Bombyx mori: one gene and its partners. Each later gene encodes a partner of the first gene's protein in a complex. Links are inferred from orthologs where the notes say so. Each region holds a gene or a part of one and is shown in the gene's direction. Other genes may lie near its edges.

The links.
Region 2: vesicle transport protein SEC20 (region 1) and vesicle-associated membrane protein 7-like share a complex: the UniProt entries of both Homo sapiens proteins name them as parts of the SNARE complex. The link is inferred for Bombyx mori from reciprocal best matches to the Homo sapiens genes BNIP1 and VAMP7.
Region 3: vesicle transport protein SEC20 (region 1) and syntaxin 5A share a complex: the UniProt entries of both Homo sapiens proteins name them as parts of the SNARE complex. The link is inferred for Bombyx mori from reciprocal best matches to the Homo sapiens genes BNIP1 and STX5.
Region 4: vesicle transport protein SEC20 (region 1) and syntaxin-18 share a complex: the UniProt entries of both Homo sapiens proteins name them as parts of the SNARE complex. The link is inferred for Bombyx mori from reciprocal best matches to the Homo sapiens genes BNIP1 and STX18.
Region 5: vesicle transport protein SEC20 (region 1) and syntaxin-7 share a complex: the UniProt entries of both Homo sapiens proteins name them as parts of the SNARE complex. The link is inferred for Bombyx mori from reciprocal best matches to the Homo sapiens genes BNIP1 and STX7.

Annotation. Positions count from the first base shown.
Region 1 is NC_085116.1:13,638,523-13,645,313, reverse strand, and holds the start of vesicle transport protein SEC20, read left to right. Parts: upstream 1-2,244; 5' UTR 2,245-2,451; intron 2,452-3,275; 5' UTR 3,276-3,495; intron 3,496-4,075; exon of another isoform or gene 4,076-4,382; 5' UTR 4,383-4,395; coding exon 4,396-4,536; intron 4,537-5,666; coding exon 5,667-5,839; intron 5,840-6,303; coding exon 6,304-6,461; intron 6,462-6,791. Other genes in the region: NADPH oxidase 4, read left to right, coding at 651-774. UniProt on the Homo sapiens protein: As part of a SNARE complex may be involved in endoplasmic reticulum membranes fusion and be required for the maintenance of endoplasmic reticulum organization. Also plays a role in apoptosis.
Region 2 is NC_085119.1:6,314,198-6,320,899, reverse strand, and holds the start of vesicle-associated membrane protein 7-like, read left to right. Parts: upstream 1-2,878; 5' UTR 2,879-3,068; coding exon 3,069-3,272; intron 3,273-4,113; coding exon 4,114-4,297; intron 4,298-4,985; coding exon 4,986-5,044; intron 5,045-6,017; coding exon 6,018-6,233; 3' UTR 6,234-6,702. Other genes in the region: sorting nexin-25, read right to left, coding at 117-176. UniProt on the Homo sapiens protein: Involved in the targeting and/or fusion of transport vesicles to their target membrane during transport of proteins from the early endosome to the lysosome. Required for heterotypic fusion of late endosomes with lysosomes and homotypic lysosomal fusion.
Region 3 is NC_085118.1:10,687,114-10,693,935, reverse strand, and holds the start of syntaxin 5A, read left to right. Parts: upstream 1-2,436; 5' UTR 2,437-3,237; coding exon 3,238-3,262; intron 3,263-4,611; coding exon 4,612-4,763; intron 4,764-4,934; exon of another isoform or gene 4,935-5,146; coding exon of another isoform or gene 5,147-5,152; exon of another isoform or gene 5,153-5,186; intron 5,187-5,373; coding exon 5,374-5,800; intron 5,801-6,448; coding exon 6,449-6,657; intron 6,658-6,822. UniProt on the Homo sapiens protein: Mediates endoplasmic reticulum to Golgi transport.
Region 4 is NC_085127.1:13,547,710-13,553,829, reverse strand, and holds syntaxin-18, read left to right. Parts: upstream 1-1,637; 5' UTR 1,638-1,777; coding exon 1,778-2,554; intron 2,555-3,189; coding exon 3,190-3,378; 3' UTR 3,379-3,396; downstream 3,397-6,120. Other genes in the region: cotranscriptional regulator FAM172A homolog, read left to right, coding at 3,955-3,972, 4,052-4,202, 4,499-4,793, 5,229-5,583, 5,653-5,737, 6,029-6,111. UniProt on the Homo sapiens protein: Syntaxin that may be involved in targeting and fusion of Golgi-derived retrograde transport vesicles with the ER.
Region 5 is NC_085107.1:5,737,720-5,744,509, forward strand, and holds the start of syntaxin-7, read left to right. Parts: upstream 1-2,767; 5' UTR 2,768-2,968; intron 2,969-3,045; 5' UTR 3,046-3,050; coding exon 3,051-3,156; intron 3,157-6,790. Other genes in the region: PAN2-PAN3 deadenylation complex subunit PAN3, read right to left, coding at 498-584, 657-731. UniProt on the Homo sapiens protein: May be involved in protein trafficking from the plasma membrane to the early endosome (EE) as well as in homotypic fusion of endocytic organelles. Mediates the endocytic trafficking from early endosomes to late endosomes and lysosomes.

The DNA of each region.
Region 1 (6,791 bases):
CATGGCTGTAAAGTCGGCTGGAAAAGTGATGGCTTCCGTCTTTTGGGATGCAGATGGGATCTTGATGATAGATTACCTTCCTAAAGGTCAAACGATTAATGGAGAATACTACGCTAATCTTCTAGATAATTTTCATCACCCACCTTATTCGCCTGATATAGCGCCATCAGACTTCCACTTATTCCCTAAGCTCAATACTTTTTTGGGCGGACAGAAATTTACCACAAATGATGAAGTCATAGCCGCTGTACAGGAGTATTTTGCAGACTTCGAAAGAAATCATTTTATGGAAGGCATTACTGCTTTAGAACGAAGATGGAATAAGTCTGTAGAGGTTCACGGAGACTATGTCGAAAAATAAAATTAATTTTATCACGAAAAGTTAAGCGTTTTATTGTTAGGCTAGTTACTTATCATCCCGCCCTTGTAGTTTTTAAGCTATCGAGAACATAAAAAAATCGCATTATGCACACATGATTTGCGTGCGACTTGTGAAAGTTTTACATGTTAATCAAGTTAAGTTTTACATAATTCCAAAACACTACTTGAGATGGAAATAAAACAGTGTCATAGGGTTATTTTTGATCATGTTAATTACTTAGATGTATGAACTGTGCTGATCAGTATTAAAATTTTACTTCCACTTTCAGACGCCATTTGAACTTATATTGCTGCGGACCGAAGAAATTAGTGAAAGCATTAAGACACAAATGTGGATACACGTCTAGCACTACGAAGACCAAGTTTACTTTCGTTCATGAAAGCTTTTCATGAGGCATTGTGTTTTAATATCAACAATTAAATGCATTTTGAATAACAACGAAACATGTTTTATTTCCTAATTATTTTTAATATGAATTGAACTTATGTATTGGGTGGGTCATTTACGACCCGCTATAACATTAGATCGTGGATCCATCACCGACCGGAGGGTCAATTCAAAAGCAAAATTGGTTATGTGGTGTACAATCATAGCTCATCTCTTTCCTGGGTGTCAAGCTTAAAGGGTCACAGTTGCAGAACTATTGATATATCACATTACATTGGAATATTATTATTGTAATATTAAGATGTTTTTAAATCCCTTATCTTTTAGAATTTCACGATCCGTTATCCATTAGGAAAAAAAAATACGTTGTTGACTATAGAAAATATTCTATAAAGTATAGATAAAAACTGTGATACACGCTTTGTAATTGGAGACTGCGGGCCTCGGGCAGTTTTTAGAACATCCTGCCCTCATAGCTAAGCCTTAAGGCGAATTTACATTACGAAATTAGTGGCATGAAACTAATTTCGTGACATTAGTTTTACCAACAGTTTCACGTGTAATTTAATACTTTCGTAATGCATGCATTAATTTCATGCATGCATATTAGTTTCGTGCCCTGCGCGATTTTTTGGTGATATTAGTGTCATGCAACTAATTTCATAGTGTAAACGCGACGTGAAACTAATGTCGCGAAAGGGCCTGCGTTGTGCGGACGTGTGTATTGTTAGTTCGGACGCGCTTCAAGCGTTGAAAATGGCAAACCAACGATGGAGTACAGAAAAATAAAATAGATCTTATTAATGAATATCAGCGAGAAGGGTGTCTATGGGACCCGAAACACCTACCGTAAAAAATCAAAATTATCTTCACTCATTCGAAAATAGTTTTTATTACTCTCAGGATCTTCATCTGCTAATTCAGAGACTAACTTCATTGCACCTAAATGCCTTCTTGTTGACCATCCTCGAATCTACCAACTTTTTTTTTATTGATAGCCTTTTTTTAAGTTCATAGGTATATAAGCATTTTTTTAGCTACATTGAATATAGCAAAATATAGCTTTGATGCTGACGGCGCCATGGTTACTGCGATACTGTGGATTTCGCGACACTAATTTTTTTACGAAATTACTTTCGCATATATTGAAACTACTTTCGTGAAACTGAGCTCAACATGCATGACACTAATTTCGTAATGTAAACTCCGCATTAGAGTTTGCCCGGCCGACACGATCTGAGGCCAACAAAAATCCTTTCATCCCAAATAAATAATTAGAGATAGGTACTTAAGTTGAACATATAAGTATTACAACTATCAAGATTGATAATAATAAATTTAAGTATTATTAAGTAAGAACATGCTCAGCAAATCTGTACTGAATGAACAGAGTTTTAGACCCTATGTTTAATCCTTGAATAAATTTTAGAAGTAAAACCTTCAAAATTAAACATCAAGATTTAAAAGACAGCAAAAACTAAATGTCACCTAAGACGCTAAGTTTTTTTACGCATAAGAGTTCATGAGTGTATTTTAGCTAAATTTCTGTGCCACACCAATGTTTCTTCCTACGGTCTCCTCTGCTTAGCATTATGAAACCTGCATTTACTACAGACAGCACAAAGAAAATTGGGAAGCGTGTTAAAAAGATAAAAAAGAAATCAAAGAATAAAAAAGATCTTGTAAGTTTTTTCCTCCTAAGTTTTTGTTGTAGCCTTAAACTGACAAAGCCCAACTTCAATACTGTTAAGGGGGATTTAAAAGATATTCTTCAGACGTTTCTTCAGAAGGGTTGAGGCTCTAACACGTAGTTAATTATGTATGTTGTGGCAGCAAAATTATATCCTATAGGCTTAGTTTAGCAGGTTTTTTGCCTTAGAAAAGGCAATGAAAAGACGGTCAGTTCGCGGGAAAGTAGTCTCAGTCTACCAAAGAGGTTTGCTATAAGACATTACCAAGCCTCTACTAAAACATTTAATTCCTATCTATATGAAAGAGAGTGAAGCGTTCATGACAATCTAATCTTTGTGTCTAATAAACCTATATTAATTAGGAGTTATACATACCTGATCCTATAGACCGAATGGTAAACAGTCGACGGCGCCCAAAACACGTCATAATGGATCCTCCTGATCTATTAACGGTGCTTTTAGGTACCACGAGTACCGGTCACCGTCCTCGTCGAACCCGTCGGTTGCGACGAAGGGCTCGACGAGCGAATTAATCCACAGACACAGTCCACTGAGTTTCTCGCCGGATCTTCTCAGTGGGTCGCGTTTCCGATCCGGTGGTAGATTCTGCGAAGCACTGCTCTTGATAGGGCCAGTGTTAGCACCACTCCGGTTTGAGCCCCGTGAGCGCACCTACACGTTAGGGCGAAGCTGATATAGCCTCTCAAGACTATCAGCATAGGTAGAAAAAAATGGAGTTAATGTAGTGGTAATGTCCCCAGCGGGCATTTTTGTTTTCTGGATCGAATTATGTGTTATGATGGATTTATTTTCAGACAAATATTAAAAGTCAGCATGAAAAACTCAGTGTAATTTGTCCAATTTGTCTACAAGATCTTTGTAATAAATCCGTGCTGGCGACGAAATGTGGCCACGTGTTCTGCGCCACCTGCTTAAAGACAACGTTGGAAAGGCAATCGGACTGTCCGAAATGTAGATCTAAAATAAAATCATCTCGTGGCTATCACGCTATATACCTGGATACTTCTAGTTTCTGTAAGAACGTTTTAAATTTGATAGATTTAATAATGTGTACGTCATTGCCATTAGGTACCTTTTTGAAGCTAGTGTTTGTAGTACTATCGTTTATTGCGAGTGCTAAATTATTTAGCATGCTTTATTAAAGACGACAGTAGCTACTTTTTTGCTTTGACGGGAGCATAAGCTTTCGGCCCATACAAATGATGAATGCCGCCAACATGAGACTTCATTTTAAGTCTTAGTCCTATAGTTCAACGGCTGTCCCGCGTTTCAAATTGAAACGCATTATTTTTTCGCGGTAGAAACTTGCAGGGTGGTGGTATTTATCCGCGCGGGTTCATAGCTTACTATCAGTAATATTAATATAGAATCCTTTTAGGTATACTTAATCACATGAAGTTTTAACCTGAGATAATATCGTTATTGCTTTCAATAGGCTATGTACATTATTTTGTATTATAAGAAATGTAGGTACTTTAAAAATTGATGAATAAATCCTTTTAAAAAAAAATTTGATTCTTGTAGGAAATAAGAAAGTTAATATTTTGCGAATTTGTTGCGATGGTTTTGAAACATGTTCTGCTTTGCACCAAATATTCTCAAATATGAAGTGTAGGTACATATTATCTATGCTATTGTTTGGATCTAGTTGATTAGTGTATGTATAGAAGGTAGAAGCTGCTGTGTACAGGTGGACACTTAGCAAACTTGTCTATAAAAAACACGGTGGACTTCTTACTTCTACCTTCCTACTAGTGACATGATTTATGATGAATGACATTTCTGACACATGACATTGTAATGACAATAGTGAAGTTTATGAATCCGTAAACTCTCTAAAAACAAATAAGATTAAGTAATATTTAACTTGTAAATTAATATAAATTTTAATGATAATATAGAAAATACACCACAATGGCCCTCAAAATGGATTTGAGTCCAACGGACCCATATCATCAATCGTTGTTTGCAAAATTAGAAAATCCTGATGTGGTCTATCAGAATTTCGTGAAGAGATTGGCTAAGTATCATTTTCAAGTCAAAGCAATTATCCAGGTATGTTGTTTGTATATTAAATTAATTAGATAAATTAGATTTTTTTGTCTAGATGTCTTTTTTACATAGAAGATATTCGGTAGAATTAGAATAGTAAAGTAAGTAGAAGAGGACTAGAATCTAAAAACTCAGTTTGTATTTCTTATTAAGAATTTCGTAGTTCATAGACATCTTTTTAATAGCTTAGATGAACAATAAAAGAAAAAGTATTGAAAGTTAAGTACAAGCTCATTGTTTGCATTCACATTCACTTTATTTCTATTAGCACAAGAAATTCATTCACACTACTGAACTGTGAGCTTATTCACTCATATAATTAATAAATAAATAAAATGATGAACACTGTTAACTACTACACAATGTCAAATTCAAATTTAAAATCATTTATTTCAACTTGGATGTCATCAAAAACACACTTGTTGAATGTCAAAATGTAAAAGAAAATATTAACTCTACCACCGGTTCCAAAAAAAGCCACAGTCCTGAGAAGAACCGGCGAAACAAACTCAGTGGGCTTTTTTTTTTTTGTATTTTCTCAACTATTTTCTTTTTTTTTAAACAAGAAAACATATTTACAGTATACAAAAAAACAAGTCAAAAAAATACAATTCAATTAAATAATAATAATAATGAAAAATGAAAAGGCCAGGAGCGAACGCCTCATTCCCACGTAGTGCCATCTAGTAAAAAATCCTTAACTTTATAATATGCCTTGTTGCACAAACGTTCCTTGACAGTTTTCTTAAATCTATGAACAGGTAGTAGTTGAACGTTTTGTGGGATCTTGTTGAAAAGTTGTACACCCAGCCCCCTAAAAGAGTTACTTATTTTCTTAATTCGAGCCGCCGGCAATGCAAGCCTATGTTTGTTCTTAGTGTTCACATTATGCAAATCGCAGACTCTGGGGAATTCTACAATGTTTTTACGCACGTACAATAAATTTTCAAAAATGTATTGGAAATGTATTGTAAAAATGTATATGTGGTTTCTTGGTTTCTTGAGTTGTTGATCTGAGTCAATAAACCAAAGTGCCTGACAACAATAACAGTTTTTAATAACTGAGCAATTTGATTACAGCTTGATACTTGCGGAATAAACCTTAGAATTATAAATATTTTTTGTTTTTTTAGGATATCCTGGAATGCAGGGAGTCGATGGAGAAATTAAATGAGTTAAATGAAAAAGGAAGGGCAAAAATAACGGAAGTACGAGAGGAATTAGAAAATTTATACCTGTATGGTAAAGAAACAGGGGATACAAAATATGATACTGAATTAGAATCACAGAGGCACCTTTTAGCTTGGTCAGTTACTAAAACATATTTTGTAAATCCTATAAAAATATATATATCCTCCTATATATCCTATAACTAACTCATCTTTCGAAAAAATCTTGATAAAACGACCCTTCTTTTTATGCAACAAAACTTGGGACCATGCACTAAAGCTTGGAAGAATCATTTTGACAATAAGTTTGTCAATTTAAATTGCGGAATTGTGATTTACTAATCTATGATCTACCTAAAGTAGGTCTATAATCCAGTAGAGTGTGCTTAAAGAAGCAGTAGTATCATAATAATGTAGCAAAAAACCACAATTTTTATTAAAAATATATATTTGAAAGGCGAAACTTGTTTTTCTAATACAAAGTTATTATTTGTTACAAAGTTATTTTGACTATGTCATCTTAAGTTTTAACAATGAATCATATTCATAGTAGAGACTGTTGTATTTTTTAAAATTAAGAATATAATTTTAACAATTTCAGTCTCCTTAAGGAATTTAAAGATGCCAATATAAATAGTATGTTTGCTATTGAAAAGGCACAAAGAGAAGATTTATTAAAATGTAGTGATAATGAGAAGTCATCAGTCCGACAAAGAAAGAAAAAGATGGATAAGGATGGATTGGTCAAAATGTCATCAGGTGATTGAGTGATCTGTGTATACTATGAAATTTCCACATTGAAGTTTATTCTTCATTGCCTCAATAGACAAAGGGCATAGATAATATAGCCACTTAATGTAATAAGAATACTTTAGCTATGTAATTGCTATTTTGCTACTAGTCAACTTGTGCCATAAAACTCAGTTCTAAAGCGAACTGGAATTCAGATAGCTTATATGTGTATGTTTTATTGCTCGGTTGAGGCTTTTGCGAGGCTTCTCCATCTCTGTCTATCAGCCTTAACCAAGCAATAACACAATACATAACCACAACCACCCCGCTAGGAGTGTAGACTGAGAGGCAGAAGAA
Region 2 (6,702 bases), on another chromosome or scaffold:
AAGAATATGCTCCATTTTTTTATTAGACACATTTGCCACTTTTATAACAGACTTTTAGGTACATACGTGTTTCATAAATCTATTGTCATGGTTTCTTACCTATAAATAGTATGGTATTAGTTATAGTAACGCTTGAGCTCAGGAAATACTTCTATCAATACCAGTTCGAACAATTCCTGCAAAATAAACAAAAAATTAACATTTTTTGTTATAAATTTAAACAATACATACAAAACTGGGGTTCAGTGCGTCGGTCTGTTAATATTAGGGGTTAAAATATTTAATCAAAATATCTACCATTATTATCTATACATTGCTGCATCTAATAGGAATAACTTTATTTATTTATATATATTAGAATAACTTTTTATCACGTAGAAAATTGTCCAAATTACGAAAAAAATTGTAGTCCGTTGGAGCAAGGTCTGGGCGAATACGGAGGGTGACGAATGGTTTCTAATTGCAGTTCCTGTAGAGTTAAAACGGTTTCTCGTGCTGTATGAGGTCTCGCGTTATCATGGAGTAATGATGGTTGAAGATCGATTCATGAGTCGGGCTGTTTCAACACAACAAATATATTGCAACAAACACGTGATTTAGTACATTAAAAAGATCTAAGAAATATCTGTTTGTCTATTTTCTTCACTTTGCCAACCAGCAGCAAACACATTTTAAGTTAATCCCGAAACAGGTTTTGACATAATGTCGAACCAATGTTATCTATACGCAATATGAAACTGGTGACGATAAGGACTCGACGAGCGAATTAACCCATAGACACAGCCCACTGAGTTTCTCGCCGGATCTTCACAGTGGGTCGCGTTTCCGAGCCGATTGTGCGAAGCACTGCTCTTGCTAGGGCCAGTGTTAGCAACACTTCCGGTTTGAGCCCCGTGAGCTCACCTACATGTTAGGGCGAAGCTGAAATAGCCTCTTAAGGCTATCAGCATAGGTAGAAAAAAAAAGTGATGATAAGTAAATCGGCAAAAAATAGTTTGTGGTAGTATATGTTAGATTGCAAACGTATTCAATCTATGTCTCAAGACGGAAGGCGTTTACCTTGTAGAGGATACGGTATGCGATAAATGTTTGAGACAAAATACGCAGCGAGCGAATCTGTAGAAAAAGAAATGTAGGTATTGTTATAATATACCTATACTGTGACAATGGTAGTTTAAACAATTTTTTTTTCAAACCACTCCATTCCTTCCGATTATCGTCCTATTAGAATTAATACCAAAATTACTCGTTGCAATTCATGGTTTTTATTACACTTTACTGCCGGACGAGTTGTTTTGTTAAACGGCCGTCTCATTCTTCAAACACGAACGGTTTACTTCACGGTGAAACTGGGCAGGACGGTGATAAATTTCCGTCCTGGCTCAAAATTCGGAGTGTATGAGTACGTAGGCAAATAATATTCAATTATCTCAAAGAAGCAAGTTGAGCACATGCGTGGCACGCTTGTCTGCACATGTCTCTTAAAACTGATCAATTTATGTACGGTGACAGTTTTAGCGAGCACGAAACGATTTTAGCTTCGGCCGACACGGAAATTTATTTTAGAACGATCGTGTGATATTTGTGCGATACTGAATTTTTCAATGCAGGGTTGTCAAACGTTCGATTTTCTCGTTTTTTTTTTTCTGTAACCCACAAGCATCAAGTAGGTATGTAAAAATATCGGTAACAATCCATATCCTTATGGTAAAAAGGAGGTGTTTGTTTGTTCTTGAAGATGAAAAACAAAAGTGATACTGGTGATTCATAATAACATGATTATTTTGATTTTTTTTCAGTTGTTTTTGGTATACGAATGTCACGAAAGAATGTTATAAATTAAAAAATCCGCCAATGTAGATAAGCTTAGCTTAATAAATTATTAATGTGTGTTTTATTGTTCGCGTTGTTGTAGTATATGTTGCTTCGAGGAAGATTTCATTCCATTATTTTTAATAAAGGAAACATTTTTCCTTCATAAGTAGATTTAGTATCGCGTCCCCTAATTCTATCAACATCTGGCAGCAGCATACTAAATGTTGGCCACAGTTATTGTCTTATTGGCATAGAATATACTACACTTAACCGACTTACTGTAAGCAAGTGATTTTATTAATACTAGAGGTCCCGCAGTAGTCGAAATTCGACTATAATTAATTGGAATTGTAAGTTTGTACACTATTATTATTGTATTTTATACTTCTATAGTCACAAATTTCGCCAAGACTACACTATAAAAAATATTAACAAAGACTAACAATATTTAATCTATTCTCAATCTGACAACAGAGGTCAAGAACAAAAGTTGGACAATAAATAGTATGCATGCGTGTGTGCGTCAAATACATGGTATGTAGTGTGTGTAATGTTTTCTTTATTGATTTAATGTATCTTTTATGCATTATTTTAAAAAAATATTAGCATTGTGCACTTCTTCTCTATATTCTCTATAAGTGTGGAAAATTTCATACTCCTCCGTCCGCGCAATTTTCGTAAAAAGGGATACAAAGTTTTTGCTTCACGTATTAATATATAGATATCGCGGACTCTTGTCATAGCAACAAGACCAAATTTTCAGTTTTTAAGATAATTCCTCTTATATTTTTAGACACAAACAAATACAAGTCTTGTATTACTGGGTTTTTTCTTTAAACAAAACCAATGAATATTTTGTTGAATTAAATTTGAAGAATAATGCATGCACAGATTAAACAAATCTGTTTTATAATGAACATTTTTGCGCACACGTCGGTCCATTTGGTAACAAAAGGTTACCAGAGTCTTGATATCGCATCGGTTAAACAAAATACAGAGAACACTGGCTAATGTGACTAGATCTGTTTTATTTCCGTCAAAAAACGAATGACATCCTTAACGCATTGCGTTTGGACATTCAAAATCTTTAAACCGTGGGCGGATCGAGAGGACGCCACATCGTATAGTTGCGGTTTGTACTCTTGTAATGCAGCAGTTAAACAATATTCTTCAAAAAAATTATTGAAACTGATAATAATAGTGAAAGCGTCAAATGGTGTGAACAGTGATAATAATTTGTAGTCATATTTATAATGCCTATATTATTCAGTGTGATAGCGTGTGATAAACGAGTCGTTTCGAAATTCGCAACCTGCGATGGTAACTTCGTGGAGATATCCGAACGAATGGTCTCAAAAATACCGGTACATGATCACAAGATGACGTACCTTCACGGAAAATATTTGATTCACTATGTTGTTCACAAGAAAAATATATTTCTTTGTATTACAGAAAAGGTAAGTTACGATTTCGTTTGAAAAGGACTTCTTACAAGTTAAAAAACATACATGAAAAAATAGAATATAAATATTGTTCTGAAAGTTCATTGATAATGTCGTCCAATACATTCGAATTGCTCAAAACACGTCATTACGGATCCTCCCGATCCATTAACGGTGCTTTTAGGTACCTCAAGCACCGGTCACCGTCCTCGCCGAACCCGTCGCTTGCGACGAAGGGCTCGACGAGTAAATTAACCCACAGACACAGCCCACTGAGTTTCTCGCCGGATCTTCTCAGTGGGTCGCGTTTCCGATCCGGTGGTAGATTCTGCGAAGCACTGCTCTTGCTAGGGCCAGTGTTAGCAACACTTCCGGTTGAGCCCCGTGAGCTCACTTACTGAATCTAGAATAGCCCCTCGAGGTTACTAGAATAGGTAGAAAAAAAAACGAATAGTATAAAACGAAAATATCTCATTTTTATTGTGGCCGGTGTTTAAAACTTGTTTTTTTTTTATTTCGTTCTCGTCAATAAATTTCTTAAAGATATTAGTTATTCGATCTGGTGCACTTATTGTTGTCCCATATATCTTCTGAACACATAGCACAGAGAAAATTTGGACGAACGATTGCCACTTATTAAATAGGTTGAATATTGAAACTAAACATATACGTCAGTTGAAAATTGAAGAAACTTTATTTACATATTTCTGTATGTGCAAGATTGTGTAAAGATTTTCTGTTAAATATGAGAGAAGCACACGTCGTTATTCGCATAAAGTTCCCTTATGTTAGCTTAAGTCAGAATTATGTAAATATTTTTTCTATAGTCTTCAAATCAAATGTATTTTCTTAACAGAGCTGTCAGAGATCAAGGGCATTTTTATTCTTAAATCAAATCCAGAGACGATTTGCTGAATACGTAAAAAATTTCGAACATATACTGGCAGAGGAAATGTACCGATACAATGAAGATTACAGTACTATAGTTATAAGAAATGGCGAACTGGATGAATTGAACAGGATCAGCGTTGAAAGGAGTGGTAAGTTTTTTTAAACATTTTTTATTAAACAGCTTTGTAAATATGTAGGATGGTTAAGAACGGAACCTATGGAAAGAGCGTGGAACGGAGTGTTAAGGTGTGAGTGAGAGAAATTTGTGAGAAATAGAGAGAAATAATAATAAAAAAAGCAAGACCGCGAGGACGATGAAGTGAGCGATGTGTAAAAAATGTGTCAATAAATTTTTAGTTATTTATTAAATAGTTTGGTAAATATGTAGGATGGTTGAGAACGGAACGTATGGAAAGAGCGTGGAACGGAGTGTTAAGGTGTGAGTGAGAGAAATTTGTAAGAAAGAGAGAAATAATAATAAAACAAAATGGCAACATGGCGAGGTCGATGAAAGCAGCAATATCTAAAAAATGTGTCTATATTTTTTTTATAATAACAATTAAATTCCAATTATACGTATGTATGTTTGTATGTCTTCTTTATAATGTGATTTGCATCGATTTTAAGACGTACCGACCACTAATCAGAAAGTTTGTACACGAATGAAGGACCGTTAGCTAAACAATAATTTTAATTGCTCTAATCGCTCTGAAATCCTGACCGGTATTCAAAAAAGGTACAAAATAAAGATAAAATTATTTGTTGGTACGGTTTGTAATTGAACGTACGGGTTCTTAAACTACATTTAATTTTAAATTAGTTTTTTTTTCTTTTCAGAAACAATTCTCGGCGAGAAAATGCTTTTAGTTGATAGCATCGATAGTTTATCGTACAGTGTAAGTTTACATAAGACATTAAGCCTACAAAATATAGTCATTAGCTATTTCTCTCATAAGCATGAATAACGTAAATGCCATTGTCTCGAGACATGATTTCTAACTCTGTTCTACAGTATAACAAGGACCACCCTTCAAACGGGGATCCTTACTGCTCCGCGGGAGAAATACGGGGTTGCCTTTAATTTTGATTTTATTTAGTTTCGCTCGTTATAAATGTCTCTGCCGGATGTATGAATGCGGCGGAAAAAAAGACTATCAGTTTCAACATTTTAAATGGAAAAAAATTCACAGAATACCTATTAAATAGTATGTATGAGTCGACTATTATCAAAGCCGGCAATGTGACTTTTGGACAATTATTGGTAAATCAGAAAAACGAATTATTGACTTTGTATTCCATTGGCAGTCACAAAACTCTTCTGCACGACATCTTAGATAAATAACAGGTTAAGTATTAACCTTTATTTAAGCAGGTTTTGAACCGTATTCTTTGAAGGAGACGATTATATTCAAATCAATCTGTATTGACATATCAATAACATTTTTTTGTCCAAATGCACAGATTGCCACCTTTGATAATAGATGACTCGTATAAACAAAATCTATTACCAAATCAAGTTTTTTATTTTTTTATTGCTTAGATGGGTGGACGAGCTCATAGCCCACCTGGTGTTAAGTGGTTACTAGAGCCTATAGACATCTACAACGTAAATGCGCCACCCACCTTGAGATTTAAGTTCTAAGGTCTCAGTATAGTTACAACGGCTGCCCCACCCTTCATACCGAAACGCATTACTGCTTCACGGCAGAAATAGGCAGTGTGGTGGTATCTACTCGTACGGACTCTCAAGAGGTCATACCATCAGTAAAGTGAATCGATCAACTATGGCATGCGAGTTTATTTAAGCGACAGCACACAAGTTTATAGTAATATTGTATTATATAAATAACACATACTATTTTGTTACAGACGATTTCGTACGTGGGTAGAGCTCCAGAACAAATATCTATATCTGTACAAGATAAACAACGTTTCAATTTTATTTTCATAGGAATATTTATGATTATTGTGGGATCTTCTGTTTACGTTTTCGGGCCGATATCTTGTGTCACGGCCACAGTAATTATAGTATTTACATTCATTAGATCACTATACGTATCCAAAAATAAAACTCATTCGAATTAAGGAGAAATTGACGACATTAAGATAATTTACTTTCGCGGTCTCATTGAGTTGTTTTCGTTCCGAAACGTATGCTTGAATTTATTTAGTAAAATTAAATAAATAATCTTCTATATAACATTCAGTTATGAACTTCGTATGTAATTTCGTTTTGATTCCTTTTTACAAATAGATATTTACGTCAATAAGCGGCAGGGTGTATTTTTAAAGTTGTTTTTGTAAATAAAATATGTCATATGTTTTGTGTCATGTTTCATAATTTCATATTCTGTAACGGTTACACGTTATACATATATATTTATTGTATGGATGTATTTTCTTTAATAATGTGTTGTTAATAGTACACCGCAATATATCTGCTGTGCAGAATTTCGGGTAATTAAACGGTTGTCTGGAGGAGATTGCTTTTAGCGATAAGACCGCCTATTGTACCAACTCATCTGCTTCTTGACTGTTTTCTGATGTAAAATTG
Region 3 (6,822 bases), on another chromosome or scaffold:
TTCAAACTATAAAAGAATATTATTTATATTTTACAATAAAATTGTATTAAAGTGCTCCAATATATGTTACTAGTAGTATGTAACTACAATCAGTATTTTGGAGTTTACTCCTTAAGAATCGATTTACATATATAGGCCCGGGGTATGAAAATTATGGGGACCAAAATCGTACTAGAGAGTATAGCATGTCACACGAAATGCGTTATGCGCCTGATTGGCTCCTGATTGGCCAATCAGGAGCCAACGCGCGGCCGCGTTATCGCAGGTGACGCCGGGCTGCTGCGCCGGCAGTCCGCCACAAAGCCTCGTACTGATCGCGCGTTTCTCTCATTATTGTATTTTCATATATTTGTTAGTCGTTTGTTTTGTGTCTCGTTAATTTGTTAATAATCTGTAGTGTATCGTGTTGTCGTAATATAGAACTATTTCTCGTATTGTTTCGTTTAATTTACCGACATCGTTTTGCTTGTGGCCGGACGCCGTTCGGGTTCGATTCCTGAACGTATCAACTGTTAGTGGGTTGATACCCGAATATAACCCGCTACAAATCATTTATTAATAAAGCTTATTAAATATAAACAATTCCTTCTATCAGTGAATGGACAACTTATATATTAATTGTAAAAGTGAATTATATAGACTTACTTAATTACCGCATCCACGTGTTCCGCAACTCCCGGATCATTCTCACTAGAATACGTAACTTCCATATTTTACTGTATTCAACTGACACAAATTTATATTTATATCCAGTAAACTCCAGTCGTGCGTCGGAGCGGACACACACACTTTTTTTTATTTTCGTTACATACCTATAATTGTTATATTTTATACATCTATAATTTCAACTATCTGATGTATTGGAAATAGGACAGTTTTACAAGCTTCCTCGCAATGTTTTTCATAATGTTTAAAACACTCGGTATTCAGTACAGGTAGATACTATAGGAACATAATATTTCGTCGAAAACTCGTTGGTATGTACAAAGCACGCATAAAATACGAACCCCGTACCCGATATCGGCAATTCGGCACACCTACTATTCATTAGACAATCGAGGCAATTTCATTAATTCAGGAGTTTTTTCAATCGTTCACTTTGTCACAACACTATTTTTATTTCATCAAAACCTGACAACACAGTAAACGTCAGTTTACTTCGTCTAATAAAAAATCCCACTATACAGAACATTTATTCATTAATTACAAACGTCATTCCTTGTGACTTCCTCTCTAAAATCACTTAATTATTAAATATTTACCGAATTTACAATAGTGTTTTATTCACTGCGGCATAAAACTATTTTATTTAAATAGTTCCGAAGAGATTTTGTCGGTAGCCTTTTTCCCGAAATATCTAAACAGAATGTCAATAATATGTTTTGATGACATATTTTAAAGAGGTATTTATAATTAGTGTCATGATCAATAGATTCCGACCGAAAAATGATTTTTCGGATGAGGGCTCCGTAATGAATTTAAATATATATAGATAATAGTTTTGGGGCATCGACTTTCTTGAGATCCTATAAAATACGTTTTAATTATTATTTTTGTATGTTTTAAGCATGATAAAATATGAAATTTTATATAAGCAATCATATTAAATCGCAACCCAAAACAGACGGCCGAACTGACGTGACAATGACATTTGGAGCGCTCAACATGGCGGATTTTCGGCCTCATTAGACATTTACGTATATTCATGTTTCATTTTATGTACGCACTGAAATACTGTTATATTATTTTCCTGCGAGTTAAAGTGCTGAGTAAGAACGAGATAGATATATGTTTATGTGTGTGCCTTCAAAATGGGTGCTATTTATATAAGCAATTGTACGTATAGTACAATATGTCGTGTCCCTACTATATAGGTCTATGATAATCTATGATAAAAGTGAACTATAAATGACAGCCCCAAACTAATGAACATTTTCCAAATAAGATATGACCTAAAGGTCTCTGTCACCACGTCATAAAATTAAAAAAAAAAACAAAAATGACAGCGACTTTTTGGCGGGAACGGAGGAGTGAAGTTGTGTGATTTGTTTTATTTTGTCTATTTGGTGTTTCTTCAGGTTTAAATGTGTAATAATGGTGGTTTATTAACTGTTTAGTATCTGTGAAAGTGCACAAATGTGGGAAAATGAAACAAAGCCGCCGGACGTCACTTCTCGGGATCCTCCAAAAAGTCCAACGAAAAAGTCTCAGTAAATGACCACCAATTTACTGAGATTATATTTCATCCCATATCATCTCATTTCATTTCATTTGATTTCATCCCAGTTGATTAATGTCTCAAATTAATCATCTTCATTTCATTTCATAATTTTTCATAAAAATAAGAGTATAAATTAAAATAAGACATGACTTAAAAGTCTTAGCTACCAGGTCATAAAATACCTAAAAAAAGAGAAAAAAAAATGACAGCGACTTTTTGGGGGGAACGTGAGGAGTGAAGTTGTGTGATTTGTTTTATTTTGTCTATTTAGTGTTTCTTCAGGTTTAAATGTGTAATAACGGTGGTTTATTAACTGTTTAATATCTGTGAAAGTGCACAAATGTGGTAAAATGAAACAAAGCCGCTGGACGTAACTTATCGGGATCCTCCAAAAAGTCCACTAAAAAAATTTCAGTAAATAACCACCATTTTACTGAGATTATATTTCATCCCATATCATCTCATCATGAATACTTGTATATTCAATTGTCCTTCGACATGTCCACCACCATTGTCAATACATTGACGGGCAAGTTTCATTAACTCGTTTTTAACGAGAGAAGTGCGCTTCTATGTCTTTTCACTTCGTCAAAAGCGTCCAATATGCGCTGTTTTAATTGTGCGAGCCTAACCGGCTCGCTTCTGTACACACATCTCTTAATTTCACTCCACAAAAGAAGTCCATGGGCGTGAGGTCAGGTGAGCGTGGAGGCCAAGCTACAGGCCCAATGCAGAAAATAATACATTTGCTTCGGTATTGTTCAGTATCCTGATGCAAAATGAAATCCTCGCTACATAATCAACGGTGGTTAATTCCTGAGATTTCCTGTAGTGATATGGATATAATCCGGCCTTATTAACAATCTTCCAGGCACAGGACTGGCTGTTGTTAAACCGTCGAGCAGTGTCATTTGTACTCCGTCGGGGATCCTCTTCAAAATACGCTAGTACATCGTCGTACAGATTTTGTCACAACGCCAGTCTTCCTCGTTCTTGACTATGTGACGGTGCGTGGAATGAACCGTGATCAAGCAAATGCTGGTAAGCATTTACCACGGTTCGCACATTTGGCTGTCGGGCGTTCGGGTACTCTTCCCTGTACATACGTACAGCTGCACTCGCGTTCGGGTATTCTTCCCTGTACATACGTACAGCTGCACTCGCATTTTCTCCACTCAAAAAGTACCCACGAAGCATAGCTACATACTCCCGTGATGTGAACTGATAAGCCATCGCATCAGGGAAAACTTAAACAAACAACTGTTGCAACGAAAAAAAGCATGCGCACACTTCCGCTAACAATTTAGTAGTGTTTAGGTTTTTGTCGTTATTGTTGAGTTGAGTTGACTTGAGTTTCCTGGAATTTATCAATGGAGCAGCGCCCCGTAGATACTAAAACCCTGCCGCACGTACTTTCGGTCATTGATTTAGTTATTTAGCATTTACCAATTATTACGTATTTTTATGGACAGTTCTGAGACTTCGTGTTTTTTTTATTTTTAACTACCATATAATATGATTAGTTAAAGATACTTAGAGCCCAGTTAATTTTTTTGTACTAATTTAAAAATAGTGGTGTATAGTTATAGGACCACGCGCCTGTTATGACAACAAATTTACTGAACATATAATTACGGTAACATTAAGGTTATTATGAGAATTAAATAACTCGCTTTTGGCCCCAAATTTAAAAACGACCCATTGATCATCACACGATATAATCTTTTGATACACACACACATGTTCGTTGGTGTCACTTCTTCGTCATTTAATTTAAATAGTTGGAAGTGAAGAGATCGACCTTCTCTATAGAAACATAAACACATTGTCATTAGTCTGCCAAAAATTGCTAAGACAAACAACTAGGTATACCCACATCAATTCTAACGAAGTGGTACAACAGTTAAATTAATATGCTTTTTGAGATTACATTGAAATGGCTGTTCCAGATGTTTGTATTGTGAAAATTTTGTTGAATATGTTTCAAATGACAGATGAAATTATTATTTTATTTCTATAGAATTTTTACGGCAACAATTTGTTGGCATGAAGAGAAACTAAAATCCATAAAAAGATGAAAATGAAACAGGACTGTAACCCAAAGAGTAAAAAAAGTAGATCTGAGATAAAAAAAAAATTAATTGTATTAATGCCGGCCACTGACATGCGCGCAAATATTCGTACATTGTACGAATGTTTGCGCGCATGTAAAGGGCCGTCAAACATTCATTCGCAAACCTAGCGGCTGTGCAAATGGGTTCGCATACTCAATTTGCGAACCCGTTTGCGCTTCCTCCTACACTTGTTTACGAATGTCTCACGAATTTCTCCTCCTTTTTAATTCGTCAATAGAACATTGAAAAGAAAAAGATTTTTGAATTCTTTCCCAGACATGATTAACAGCCATGCTGTTTTTATGGGATTTCTTTTGATGAAGATACGCTACACAGTAGACGTCACGAACTATGAAAACGGCGTTACCTTCGCAATCGTCGGCGCAACTGGGCAAGCGAATGTGTGGGAGACTACGCGAAGGTTCGAGGTTCGCGCGCTTTGATGTCTGTTAAAAAACCGACACAGCTTGGAAAACCACGAATGCAGCGAAAACTTTGCATAATCATTCGCAAATGTCGTCCTACACTTGCGGGTTTGCGTATTCGTGCGCATGTGAGTGACAGAGTGAGTAATGGACAAACTAAGCCAGAATAGTCTATGACTACCCCTACGTGTTAAGTGTATTATCTATGACTACGTGTCTGGAATCTATCGAGTGATTAAAAATAAAGGATTGTGGGTAGGTACCTACATACCTTATCTAAAAAATGGAATAGTGGGACTTGATAATTTAAAAGATAGATATATCATCGAGTTTTGAAAAGAATCGATGAGATGAAATGATAAATATTGTACACACATGAATGTACTATGAAAGTACGTAATTATTTGAACGCTATTGGTTTTCTAAGTAAGTATTGGAATGTAAAATTGTGAAATACTGCCTCAATTATGTAAATTGTAAGTTTTCATTTTCAAACAAAATATCCCCAATCATTAACAAGTAAAGCATATGTGTGGTGTAACAGTACTGTTTGACTTAATGTAATTTACTTATCAAACAAAGTTGACAACGTTTTTTCTGTAAAACTTTATAGGTGAAGACTGAAGACTACAATGCGATGCTTCCTCGAAGGCGAAATATAGGCGTTACAGAAAGACTCTTGGAAACAGAAACGGATTCATACAATAAATTAGATAAGAAAGGTGTTCATTACGGGGAATCGCGGCCTTACGAGAACTCATCAAATTCCAAATCAACATTGATTCTTAAATCATCTGACCAGGACGTGTTTAAATTTTTAGAAGAATTTGTTTTTGAACCAGTTATGGCTTCAAGAGATAGAACAAGTGAATTCATTTCAACTGTACGCAGTCTCCAAGGACGTTTCTTAAACAAACCAACCGTAAGAGATGATAGAAAAGCTGCTGTGTTGGAAACTTACTCCCAATTCATGAGTATGGCAAAAGTAATTAGTAAGAATATTACTAGTACATATACCAAATTGGAAAAGTTAGCCTTGTGTAAGTATTTTAAATGATTCAGGCATAAGTCCAATATGAAGTGTTATATTCTTTTCATTTATTGCTTTTATAAAATGTTAAATAAACATTTTTTTTTAATAAGATGTAAAAGAAACGCTACATTTGCTATAAACTAGGTACAAAGAAATTGTTCTCTAAAATGAAGTTAGGTCATAGAGGTAATGATACCAATACAAACAAAAATTGCCCTACAAGATTTATATTTTATGTATGTTACTGTATATCAAATCATGAAATTCAAAATTAATATTGTGAAAAAAAATAACAAAATAACTTCTTCAGCTACCTAAATGAATGAAGTAAAATTAATTGAAGTTCAACCAATCATGTGAAATTCAAGTGAAAACATCGAACTGTTGATGGTAATATCAAATAAAAACGTTAATTACTGAGATAAATGTAGTGTATTGAGCGAAACGTCTTTTAAACCAAACAGCCTTTCACTCCTCAATATATATAAAATATAAAAAATGAATATATCAAGAATATGATAACAGTCATTTACCACTAAGTTAATCTTAGTTTACAATTTATGACAAATTAATTAAACAACATCCCTTTGTAATCAGATTATTTTACAGTTCTTATAGGAAAATTTACTTGAAATGTTTAATAATTGTGTTGCAGTGGCTAAGAGGAAATCATTATTTGATGACCGTCCCACAGAAATTCAAGAACTAACTTATATTATTAAAGGAGACTTAAATTCTTTAAATCAACAAATTGCCAGACTAGGTGAAATGCCAAGAGGTCGTCGCAGTATGCACAGTCATTCATCTAGTGTTGTACTCGCATTACAGTCACGCCTTGCTTCAATGAGTAATCAATTTAAACAGGTAATTTGTTCCTACATATAATTGGTTCCTGGATATTTAAAACTTTGTAAAAATGGTTTATGCTCTTCTGAATTAACAATACCAAGTAAACTGATATGCTTTCATAAATATGAAGCTAAATTTATAAGCATATATATAGGAGCACGTTGCTAGAGTTGGCGAGCG
Region 4 (6,120 bases), on another chromosome or scaffold:
AGTTATTGGATTCTCAACTTTTGAGCCGATCACTTAGTTTAAGTGATTATCTATGGATCATTTCACCACTTGTTTTTCCTACCTTAGCTGATTGTCGAGAGAGACCATGTCAGCGTCACCAGGCTAGCTCACCTAAGCTCACGGGGCTCAAACCTGAAGACGTTGCTAACACGAACCCTGGCAAGAGCCGTGCTTCGCAGAATCTACCACGGGATCGAAAACGCGACCCACTGAGAAGATCCGGCGAGAAACTCAGTGGGCTGTGTCTGTGGGTTAATTTACTCGCCGAGCCCTTCGTCGCGAGCGTCGGGTTCACCAAGAATGATGACCGGTGCTTGGGTTACTTAAAAGCACCGTTAGTGGATCTTTTTTTTTTATTGCCTTTGTATATATATCTTTTAAATCTCTGTCTTCAATGGGTTGATGTTGGATGGTTAAATTTGAGGTGATTGGGTTCTGTAGGTGATGGAGGGCTATTTAAAAACACACTGCTTCATTATAATTATATTGCAGATAGTTTGAACACCATTTTAAAATTATTATCTTTATATTTTTATAAAACTTCTTACATGTTTCTTTGACCGTGTCTAGATTAGAAGTATTGACTTTTTCTTACGAGAATACAATCATCTGTTTTTTAAACGTTTAAAATAATTCTAATATTCGAAATCTGTAATCATGCGTCAAGTGCTGCCTGCCATTACATTTATATTCAAACTCCAACAGTTGAACTGAATTAAATTCAATTCACCCAACTGAACTGAGAACTGTCTAAGCATCTTCATGCTTAGACAGTTCTCTAACAGACCTAAATTTGATCGTGTCTGCTGCACCACGCTCTGAGCGAAGCTCTCATAGCTGATATGTCATACATTATAACACAAATGTGAAACCTAATAAAAAAAAGAAACAAAAAAGTTAAAAATTGTGTATTTTTTCTAAACTTTGAAACCGAGTTTTAAAAAAAAGCAAGTGTTCAAATATCAGGCATGTACCTTATCTATTCTCGCCACAGTGAGCAAAAAAGTGCCTTAACATAGAAATAAAAAAATATATTTAAAAAATCATAACTCGAAAACTATTAAAAATCGCGGAACGTACATGGGGGTGGTTCGGATAGCCCTAGTGATGTTCTACCTCTGGACTTCGGCTTGACACTATTTTTTAGGGCACCCTGTATAAGCGACAGAAGCTTTATAGAGTGGTGTAACATTTATTTCTGTCTCTCTTCCGTCTCCATTCGATCTGAAATGCTTTCGGCTACTGTAAATTTACGAGCAAAAGACTTCAGATCAGATTGTGTATAATAATTTTTTTAAGGGATTTTATGACCTGATAACTTTCTTCGGATGTACATACTGACTTTTTATTTTTTCACATAAAATTATACGACTAACTAATTAATGCTAGGCAACAACTATTCTTCTTAATAAACTTATGATGGTTAGATGGTTGGATGGCAAGAAGACCAGTTCTAACATGAAGAAACACTAAATAGACAAAATAAAACAAATCACACAACTTCACTCCACGTGTTCCCGCCAAAAAGTCCATGTAGCCATCACAGATTAAAATATTTATTACTATTAAAATATTTATTACTACTTAAAGCCATGCTTACTTTGCCTTTTCAATTGGATAATTTTAAAAAGAGAATTTGGTTAGTGTCTACTCTGTGAGGACATTATTGATTTGTCAATTCAATTTGTCAAAAACGAGTAAAACTTACGTGTTATTGAAGGAAAAAACATTTAAAACATAAACAAATCCTCTTAAAATGGATATAACACCATTATTTAAGGCTTGCATAAAAACTGTTAAAACTCGTAACAAGGCTTTCGGCATACACAGTCCGATTAGCGAAGATAAGCAACGCATATTGAGGGTGAAATCAAAAAATGCTTTCATGGCAACAGCTAAGGATATTTGTTCACAAATTACAAAGCTTAGGGACTTTTTATTGGAACACCGCGATAAATATTTAAGCTTCTTCAATAATGTTACTGGAGACGATATGTCTGATGAAGAGCGCGACCAAATAGACACCGGTGCGCAACGTATCATGAACACATGCTCACACCTGCTAAAAGAGTTCAGGAATGATAATCGAAGAACTACAGTGACCCCACAAACTAGGGAATATATGGACTCAGTCGTAGATTTAATTGATGCTTATTTAAAAGCTGTTTGTAAAGTGCATAGTGAATTGAAAGCAATGAGAGTTAAGCGAGCTTTAGATATGAGAAAATTGTCTAGACTTGAGCTACCAGCGACCAAATCTAGTATTCCTAATCCGTTTACACTAGATAAGGTAATAGAAAAAGAGAATGAGACAGAAGATGAAAAAGAAAATACAAAAACAAAATTAGACTTATCAGAGAATGAGATGGCAATTATGTCTGATGAAGGAGAGTTGACTTCAGAAGAGTTGCAAATGTTTGAGTCGGAGAATGTACAGCTGTTAAATGAACTAAACAGTATGACGGAAGAAGTTAAACAAATTGAAAGCAAAGTACTACACATTGCAGAACTTCAAGAAATATTTACTGAAAAGGTAAAAGGTTAAAATTGAATAAATACATAAGCCATTTAAAAAAAAAAACAGATTACAAGAAAAGAATATCTGCCACCAGAGAGGATGAATGTTGTTTATTATAGTCTGTGTATTATATCTTTATAAAATTGCACATACTGGTACATACATATCATAACTATCTTGATCTTAAAATATTCATATTTGGATGTTCTTTCATACGTAAACTATTGGATGTAAATAAATTTTTCAAATCCATGATACTTTAATTGATTTATTTAGATTCAAATTGATATTACTGTTTGTAAAAGTATAATTAACAGTAGCGGTTAAGAATATCTGCCACCAGAGAGGATGAATGTTGTTTATTATAGTCTGTGTATTATATCTTTATAAAATTGCACATACTGGTACATACATATCATAACTATCTTGATCTTAAAATATTCATATTTGGATGTTCTTTCATACGTAAACTATTGGATGTAAATAAATTTTTCAAATCCATGATACTTTAATTGATTTATTTAGATTCAAATTGATATTACTGTTTGTAAAAGTATAATTAACAGTAGCGGTAGGCAGGTAGCTTTTAATAATGAGATATACAAACAGTTTGTCTGACATAAAATGTAAAAAGTGTAAATATGTTTCAGGTTTTACAACAAGAACAAGACATAGATAGAATATCGAATACAGTTGTCGGGGCAACTGAAAACGTTAAGGATGCCAATGAACAGATTAAGCAAGCTATACAAAGAAACGCAGGCCTAAGAGTATATGTTCTGTTCTTCTTACTGGTCATGTCGTTCAGTTTGCTGTTCCTAGATTGGTATAATGATTAAATTTAGTAGTTACTGGTGGTTTTGTGTTTCATTTTCTAAATAATGATAATTTTACAAAAAAAAGGAACAGTTTTGATGATAATAAAATGATCTTAATTGAAATTTTGGAATCAATGATGTTAATATTTTCGCTTTAAATAAACACGTTTTATCAGAGGCTTCTTATGTTTTTTTATGTGAATACGCAAATATTTCACTATCGGTTATATAAAATATACACTATTATTGCTAGAGTTTCGATCTATACTTTAGCCAAACATTTTTTTAGTTGTTTAAAATACAACTATACATATACTAACTAACTATTATACTTATGCTACTAACTTTAACTTATATGAATCTTAGTTGATAACATGAGAAAATGCTGTTAATTAACGTTGTACCATCTATATTATTTTAAAAATACCACTATTTTATTAATTTAGTTACAAATATAACTTCGGTTTTTTACCAGTCGACTAACTTGGCTGTATGTGCTATTTTCTCTTGGACTATCTATTTAAACGTCAAAGTCCAAACTGTCAAGTTCCAACCCCGGGACCTGGGGATTGTTTATTTTTCAGTTTCAAGACCTAGATGCATATAAATTCAGCTGTAATAAAACATATATCAATGTGTTTCCCTGAGGTGATCAATACTGCAGGATGCGTACTTACCACCCTCTCTGTTGCAGTTCATGAATGTAATTCGCGCAGTACGCACGTCGATATCAAAAGTACGACTGCGACCTCACAGAAAGTCGATTGCATCTAGTGCTAATAAAGTGCATTACAAAATGGAGGGAACGAAAACTATGAAGGAACTGGGATACATATTTGATTCAAGTAACATTCTAAATTTTTTATATCATTTAATTAGTGCCTCCACTTATGAATAGGAACAATAAGAAATTTCAGAAATAACTTGAAAACAGGTACAGTTAAGTGTATGCACGAGACCCTCTTAGTGCCAACGCTTAAGGGTGGTGATAACCACTTTCCATTAGATCCATATGTTCATACCAAGGCAATTAATATATGTTGTTAGGGTATTACTTGTAGATATTAAATGCTACACTATTTTCTAGTTTCACTTTTAAATTAACAATAATATGATACTTAATGCTTTTACTACCAAACAGATGGTCAAGTAAGAAAAATTGGAGCTGATGGACAGCCAACAGATGAACCATTCCAATTTGTTGTGAGCAATGATCACCAGGAATGCCAAGCTCATTATGAAGAACTTGGCTCAGCAATCACCAATTATGTTTATGATATTCTTCAGACTCAGATTGGATTGCAAAAGTTACCAATCCCAAAGGATTCAAATGATGGAACATTTATTTTTGTTTCAAAAGATTATGATAAAAAAGATGTTCTGTTAATATTGATTCACGGATCAGGCGTTGTGCGAGCTGGTCAGTGGGCTAGATCGTTAGTATCATGACTTAATTACTAAATTTTGGTTTCAAGTATGTTTAAAATTAAAAATAAATAATATTGATGATGAGATAAAATTCAAAATGCAAATGTTATTTTGAATTTAGACAAGCAAAGCCATTTTTGAGTAGTACTTTAATAACTTTGGATATATAACATGAAACTTCTTCTTAGTACTGAATCATAAAATTAATATAGAAATATGTATATAATGGTGGCTCAATTCCTGATTCTGTTCATTATCCTTGGTTGGTACAATGATGGTATTACCCTTCTGTTCTTCTTTCACAATGGCAATACTCTATTCATCTATGTATTAATATGTACGTAATCAATGCATATTTTTTGTTTTCCCCATGTCTTGTTTTAAAGTAGGTCACGTAATTAGGCCTGCAGTATATTTGTTCTGAAATGTAATTTTTGTCACAGCCTCATAATCAATGAATCGTTGGACAAAGGATCTCAGATTCCGTATATCAAGAAGGCTTTGGCCAAAGACTATGGAGTAGTGGTACTAAATACAAATGACAATCACACAGCAGATGGAAAGACCATTCTCAACAGTAGCACCGCTGAGGAACATGCCCTTTACGCATGGCTGAACTACATATCCAATGCGAATGCAAGTTCCATACTCATTGTAGCACATAGTTATGGTGGGGTTGTCACGGTTTCTCTGGCAGAAGAGGTGCAAAATGACTTTGAAGACAGAGTAAAGGCCATTGCTTTTACTGACTCTGTACATTCCTATTCTAATAAGAAGCTTACAAACTTTTTGAAACAGGTAAGAATGTAACTGGAGGCATGCACAGTTGAAATTTAACTTTTCCTAATTGGTTTCTCGATATTACAGGTTACAAAGAATTGGATATCTAGTCAGACACCGCTGGATACACCTCTCAGAACTCCTGATTTCGATATAACCAGACTTTCAGCAGGTATAAATATTGCATTCATAAAATCAAATTATTTGTGTTTTTAAGGGGAATAGACTATGGCTATTCTTTCTTCTATGAACTTATTTTCTAGATTATAATTACATACTTATCCAAATCTTTGCACTGCCTTTGTCCATGAGTAACACTGAGCATTAATCACTGGTTCAGCTAAAAGCTTACTATTAAGTGCTGCAATAGTAACATTGAAGCAACCATTGGTAAAGGTTGACTTAAACCACTGAAACTCTGCATTTGTGTTGTGTCAAATATATAAGAAAACTTTGTTTGCAGGTCATGAGAAACATGAAATGACATCATACATGTGTATGGATTCTGTTTTTAAATACTTTGATGAAATACTAAATATGGATTAAAACGAATAT
Region 5 (6,790 bases), on another chromosome or scaffold:
TACTGCCAATCTGATGATGAGTGGTTACCATCGTACATAATCATCAGGAATGCCCAGGGCACAGCCAAGCTGTTGTCTACCTTTTTTTATATAATGTAGTGTAGGCTTCAAGTTCATACACATCTGCACATAATATTGACGCTTGAAAATCAAATGTGACTAAGCGACAATTACTGCCTTGTACATAAATGATAGGCAATAACCATATTCGATGCGCAATAAAAATATATTTCTAGGTCTATTAAAATCATTTCAATCCTACAGTTAGATTCGTTAAAATAGAATTTTTTTCAGGTATATTTTAAATTAATTTCAACTATAAATTAGTCTTCTGTAAGATTCACGCATTGTCGCTTAGTCACATTTGCCTTTCAAGCGTCGATATGTATTTCTGACATTATGATGCAACTTAATATTCAAAATGTCAAAGATATATGTTAGGTGGAATTAATCATAAGAAATATTTATTTTCCTAAAATGTTATTTGAAAATATTACCTTCTTAACACCTGGTGGTGAGGAATCCAAAGTGAGCTTCCCTATAGCATGGTTAAGAGAGCGTGTGGGCGTCGAAGTTGAGCGACTCTAAAATTTATGACAATTAAAAAAAATCGCTTTCTTAAAATAATAATAAAAATTTAAAAAACAATGTCTTACCATGTATGTAACTAGCTTCGATTCTTGTGGAAGCCCGTTAGGCGGTGCGTATGGTAGAAATATTGATGGATCCATAATTTCAAAACTGCAGTGCGTCTGTGCAGTCTGCTGCAAAGAAGAAAAAACATAGTCAATAAATCAATAAAAGTAGCGTAGGTACCTACTTCACAGTTTTGTTCCCAACTTATGTAGGTAGTAAGCACTTTAAAATTGACCTACCTTAATTTATGATTCTTTTCGATTCACAGTTATTCATGACAATGAGAGTACCCCAACATGTCGTTATTAAGGGTTCAATTTCAACCAGACATATTTGGAAAGCTAGAATACTATATTAAATACGTGATAGAAATCAAACCCTCAAAAATCTAAAAACTACGTATTTCATTGTCTCAAAAGACGGGGCTTAAAGGCAATCTTTATTGATTCATTCACACAAAACACTGGGGCAGCAATTTTAATACAAAATTCACGGACTCTCAGAGACGGGGACACGAAGACAATAGAGACATTAAACAGGAACAGGTAAGAGATGAGTCCTAATACGTCGGTGAAGGTAGTGTGTACCAGTGTACGTACACTACAGTGAAACAGTCTTCCATAGACTAAAAAACATTACCCATGTAAAATGTAAGTCAACATTATAGAATCTAGTACAATCCGGGGTGTGTGAATTCGTTAGCATAACAATTTAATGATTTTCGACTTATTCTGATAAATTTACCCGTATTGGAATGAATCTGTTGTTTATGTGCAGTAAAAGATAAGAAACTGAAAAATACATAATAAGGTTTTTGTTAATTAAGTTGGTCTGAATCATCAATTTCTTGCATTAATTATTACAAAATATTTTAGTTTTCAAATAAAGTTTTTATGATTAAAAATACATTATCTAGGGCCGGTTTAATTAAAACATCATGCTAAGAAAAGAGTTAGTTATTTTTATATTTCACCTTGTTAGGTATTGTTAAGATTATATTTAATCTCGCCTTTTTTCTAGTTTTCTCATAATAGGTTGAAACCGTGCTACCAAGATCTAATGGTCGATTTTATAGCCGCCACTCATGATAAAAGGAGTTATAGGTTATTATTTTCATTTGAAAGTTTTCATCATTATATGTATGGTTTTATTTTTATTTTTAAAATATAGTTGATTTTAAAATTTTACTAATTAAAATATAAAAAAAATACTGTAAAACATCCATTATCCACTTTTTAGAGCATGGCATTCCAGCCTTCTAAAAGGCTTGCTTCGAACTATCTTGTGAGACGATGAGTTTAGATGGGATAAAAAATGACCCAGAAGTGGCTTAGCGGGGAAATTAATGTAATTCTAAGTCATTCACTCCATTTCATGACAAAAAGAGCATGACCCATTTACGAAGCCTTCAATAGTCTCTTACACTATATGATGTAATGGAAAAGCTTGTAAGGCCATACCAACAATGAAGCATTTTCTATCTTTAAATGCGCGATTGTATCAGAGTCTATTAACTGCTATCAGTGAGCTTTTTATTTTTTGAACTAGTCTATGGGCCAATATGTGCTGGCGACCAGCAGATTCTTAGTAAAAACGTGTCAATGTCATTCTGCAACGATTAGGGAAGATACGTGAATACGGTAGTAGTACCCTAGCCAGTTTTTTGCTGAAGATGATATATAGTGGGAAAGAGAGAGCCCTACTATCTCTATACCGATCTGATGTTACTTAAAGAGAAGGCATACATTTTGTAATAATTTTTTTTCAGTTTAAGCATTTAATAAATAATAAAATAAGTTTTCAAAAAGTTCAAGTATCCAATAGGTTCAATTAAATTGAAAACAGTAATCACGTCAGTGAGAGCTTTGGGAAAATTAAACATAATTGCATTGGGTTTTTAAAAAAATGCATTGAACTGTTTACAAATGCCCACCACGTTGTTGAGAGTTAATTAATTTAATTTTATCCAACTATTGCTCTGATGTCTTATGTCATATAATTTCAGTCCATTTAAAATTTCACATAACAGACACGCCTTCCGTCCTTTTTACAAAAAAATATCTATGGGCTCTGTTTTCTTTGCCTTTCTACAGAACAAATCAAACAAACAACAATCTGTTTTGTCAACTGTCATTTTTGATGAGTAATTTTGAGCAAGCAGTAACTGCAGTCCTATGATCAGCTCTAAACTTATCTGTAGTAAATGAGTAGCATATTCTGCGTTTGATTGTTTTCTATCATAGCTCTGTAGTGTATGGGAAGAAGAATACAAACCATTATTTTAATTAACATAAAACTATACATACTCACCATCTCTTTCAATTTATAGTGGGTAGGTACATGATTAATAACACTATATTTTCACGTTTACTTTCATTGTATATCGATTATTTATTGTTTATTTCGTAGTGAAAATGGAGGCGTCTTATCAAGGAGGTGTGTCATACGATGAGAATGGAGATAACTTTCAACGACTTTCTCAAACTATCGCCAGTAATATTAAGAAAATATCCCAAAATGGTAAGTGTTATTTTGAATGCTGAAATGTGAGATTAACGTATGTGAATCTAAGCCTAATATTAGAGAGATACAAAATTACTAGGAAAAATCAAATCAATTAGAAATTTTACTGATTAGAATCGTTCTTACTAAAGTTTTTCTAACATGTGTTTCAATATTTAATGTTTTAAGTTCTAAGTTAGACTACAAAACCCATAGATAGCACTGAGAATGCTGCCACCTTCAGGCTCCTGGAGTCTCAAGTGTTTTGAATAATGTTGGCTGTCTCACCATTCACTCTGGAACTTGAGACTACTTTGAGGCTAAAAGAGACAGGATCTTTCTATCATGCTTTTTTTCTAAAATGTTGAATTCGCTCATCGCCAAGTGATCTCCTTGCTATCATTATATGCCCCACTCTTACTTTATTATACCAATTTTATTTGAGCTGTCAATATTCATCTGAAATAATAATAATAATAAGGATTAACTTTGTACAACTGACGACCGCCAGTCTGGCGTAGGATCTTTCTATCATGCTTTTTTTCTAAAATGTTGAATTCGCTCATCGCCAAGTGATCTCCTTGCTATCATTATATGCCCCACTCTTACTTTATTATACCAATTTTATTTGAGCTGTCAATATTCATCTGTAATAATAATAATAATAAGGATTAACTTTGTACAACTGACGACCGCCAGTCTGGCGTCCCGAGGGGGAGGGTGATGGGAGAGATGTGCTCCGCACTAAACGCTTCACTTTCCCCCCTTTGCCTTGTCATGAGTTCTGTCTCATGCGAGGTTTGGACATTGGTTGTTGAGCGACAGGAGGTTTTAGTCAGTTCGACTCTGACATACCCTGCTCAGTATCCCCAGAAAATGGTGGAAGTCTGGTGATTTCCTGCTGACCAAAAAAAAAAAATGTTTTGTTTAGATTTATTGACTAAATGGTGTCTTAAAATTATTTAACTTGAATAATGCATATACAGTCAAAACCGTTTACTGCGACATCGTTTAATACGACATGCCAGTTATAATAACCAAGAACAAAGGTCCCGGCTGAATGCCATATGACCGCCTTATTAAAAATATTGCTTTCTACGACATTGCTTATAACGACATACCTCATAAAACGACCACATTTAACTAATATTTCGGAGAATTAGATCTGTTAGAACGACCGACTAAGCTGTATTGTAAACAATTTGAATAGGTATCCACATTTGTCTTCAATGGCTATTAAAATCAGGAAAGAAAACAATAGGATTTAGTTTAGTGTAGGGTCTTTTCTAATTCTTAGAAACAAAACACGTGCATGCAGTAGAGTCAAAGCCCGCTTCTTCATATCGCTTCAGTTAGTTTGTTACTTATCTATACACAAGACGCACCAAAACTTTGTGGAGTTATTCGTGAAACTTTCAAAATGTCGCAAAGAAAAAGAAAACAAATTAATATTGAAGAAAAATCGCGTATTATGTAAATATATTTTTCCAATAATTCCCTATCGATTTGTTTGTACTTTCACGATACACATTATATACATCACCGGTTGTTACGACTATCGGTTTTTACGACTTAATATGAGCAGTCCCTTCGATGTCGTTATAACAGATTTTGACTGTAGTTGCTATTTGTAAGTAAACAAATATAAATATTAAGAAAAAAGTTTTATGAAGTTAGATAAAATATATTAAAATTAGGATAATGTTTGTCCTTAAACATATGCAAAGAAAAAATCAGTCTACATCAAAAGTAAAGTATGCTTTATTGTACACCAATATCTGAACTTTTACTACATACATAATTGTTATGTATGTAGCTATATGTAATAATAAAAATAAAATAACACATGCACATGTGTACCAATCATATAAAATAAATAAAGATACAAAACGTTAAACAAAAGAACAGTGGTGAAATCACAAAGAGAGGCCTCTTGAAAATAGCCAATATGTGAGCAAGAATTTTTGAATGAAAGGAATTTACTGAGGTGTACTTATCAAATAAAAAAGAAAAACAGAATAGTATTTTAGTATTTACAAAATTCATCATTAAAAATGCATTTTGATAGTTATGTTTATACCAAAGCATTTGAAGTCTTATGTTAGAGCACAGCATATGCCAGTTTGATTTGAACAATTCTTTATGCATTTTTTTTTCTACCTATGCTGATAGCCTTGAGAGGCTATTTCAGCTTCACCCTAACGTTTGTAGGTGAGCTCGCGGGGCTCAACCGGAGAGTTGCTAACACTGACCCTAGCAAGAGCAGTGCTTCGCAGAATCTACCACCGGATCGGAAACGCGACCCACTGAGAAGATCCAGCGAGAAACTCAGTGGGCTGTGTCTATGGGTTTTTTGCATTTTGTCATTCAGTTATTTATGAAGAATCTTAAATAATTAATAACTAACATAAGTACTTTTAATAAATTTCAATATATAAAATAATAAAGCCTTTTGTTCAGACAACAGATTTACAATTATCTTTCTTATACTACTGCACTTTTATGTATTTAACACAATTAAAATTATTCACATATTTGGTGCTTCTTTACTTTCTGTAAATCCATAGGCTGTTGGCAAAGGCCTCCTCCAACCTACTTTATACTGATCTCTTTTGATCTTGTGTAATTGTTTTAAAAATTTTGCAATTGTTTTCTTATGTGGTTGGAGGATTGTGCTCCTTTTCTCCTGCAAGGACTTGTGGCTTGCAGGAAATTGTGTTATTTCTTTTGTTTGGTTTTCATAATTTGGTTGGATTATCCGTTTGGCGGCTGTTATTGGTTTTTATGTGTGAGGATATGAGTGGGAGGGTTTGATCGGATTCTCATCAAATCGAAGGCGTTTGTCCTGTGTGTTGTGGTAGCAAAGGCTTTCTCTTTTATGTAACTTCCTAAGCTACCAATATATAGATTCATTTTAAGCTCTGTATATTTAGTTTACTTCCATAAATAAATTAAGGTCTCTTTTAAAGTACTCTTTAACAGTTTGAAATAGTTCTAACATGGATTTTTCGAAATTGTTAATATGAATTATGGCAATGACTTTGGGAAATTACTCTTTTAATACTCATGTACATAATATAATATATAATATAATATAACTACTTTAGTTGTAGACGTAGTAGTAAAGAACTAGAAACAATATTACAGTGGTCTCCACAAATAAACAAAACCCATAAAAACTTGCTAGAATGTGCTATTTTGCAATGTGAAATTTAATTAACAATAAATTGGCTTTAGAATAACATTACAAATTAAATTTTATTTATATTTTAATCCTAAGAAGTATATCGTATTTCACAATTCTTAATTTAGTAGTATATATAATATACGTATACATACATTAGAAAATGAAATAAATTGATTGTATAAGGAAAAAGCAAATGAGAAAAATAGCTAAAACTTTTCACTTACTACCTATATAATTACTGTTGTACATTTTCCTTGTACATAAATCATGTTTTTATGTAGTTGAACTTCATTAGTGCTTATCAGGACTGTTAATATGATGGCTCTGTTAATTGAAATGATTATAATAATGATAAGAAACATTAAAATTTAAAATTAAAATTTGCTAAGCTTTAAGTTTTTCAGTAATTTTCAAAACTAAAAATGTTCCCTGAAATCTGAACTATTATTTTATATAATACTAGCG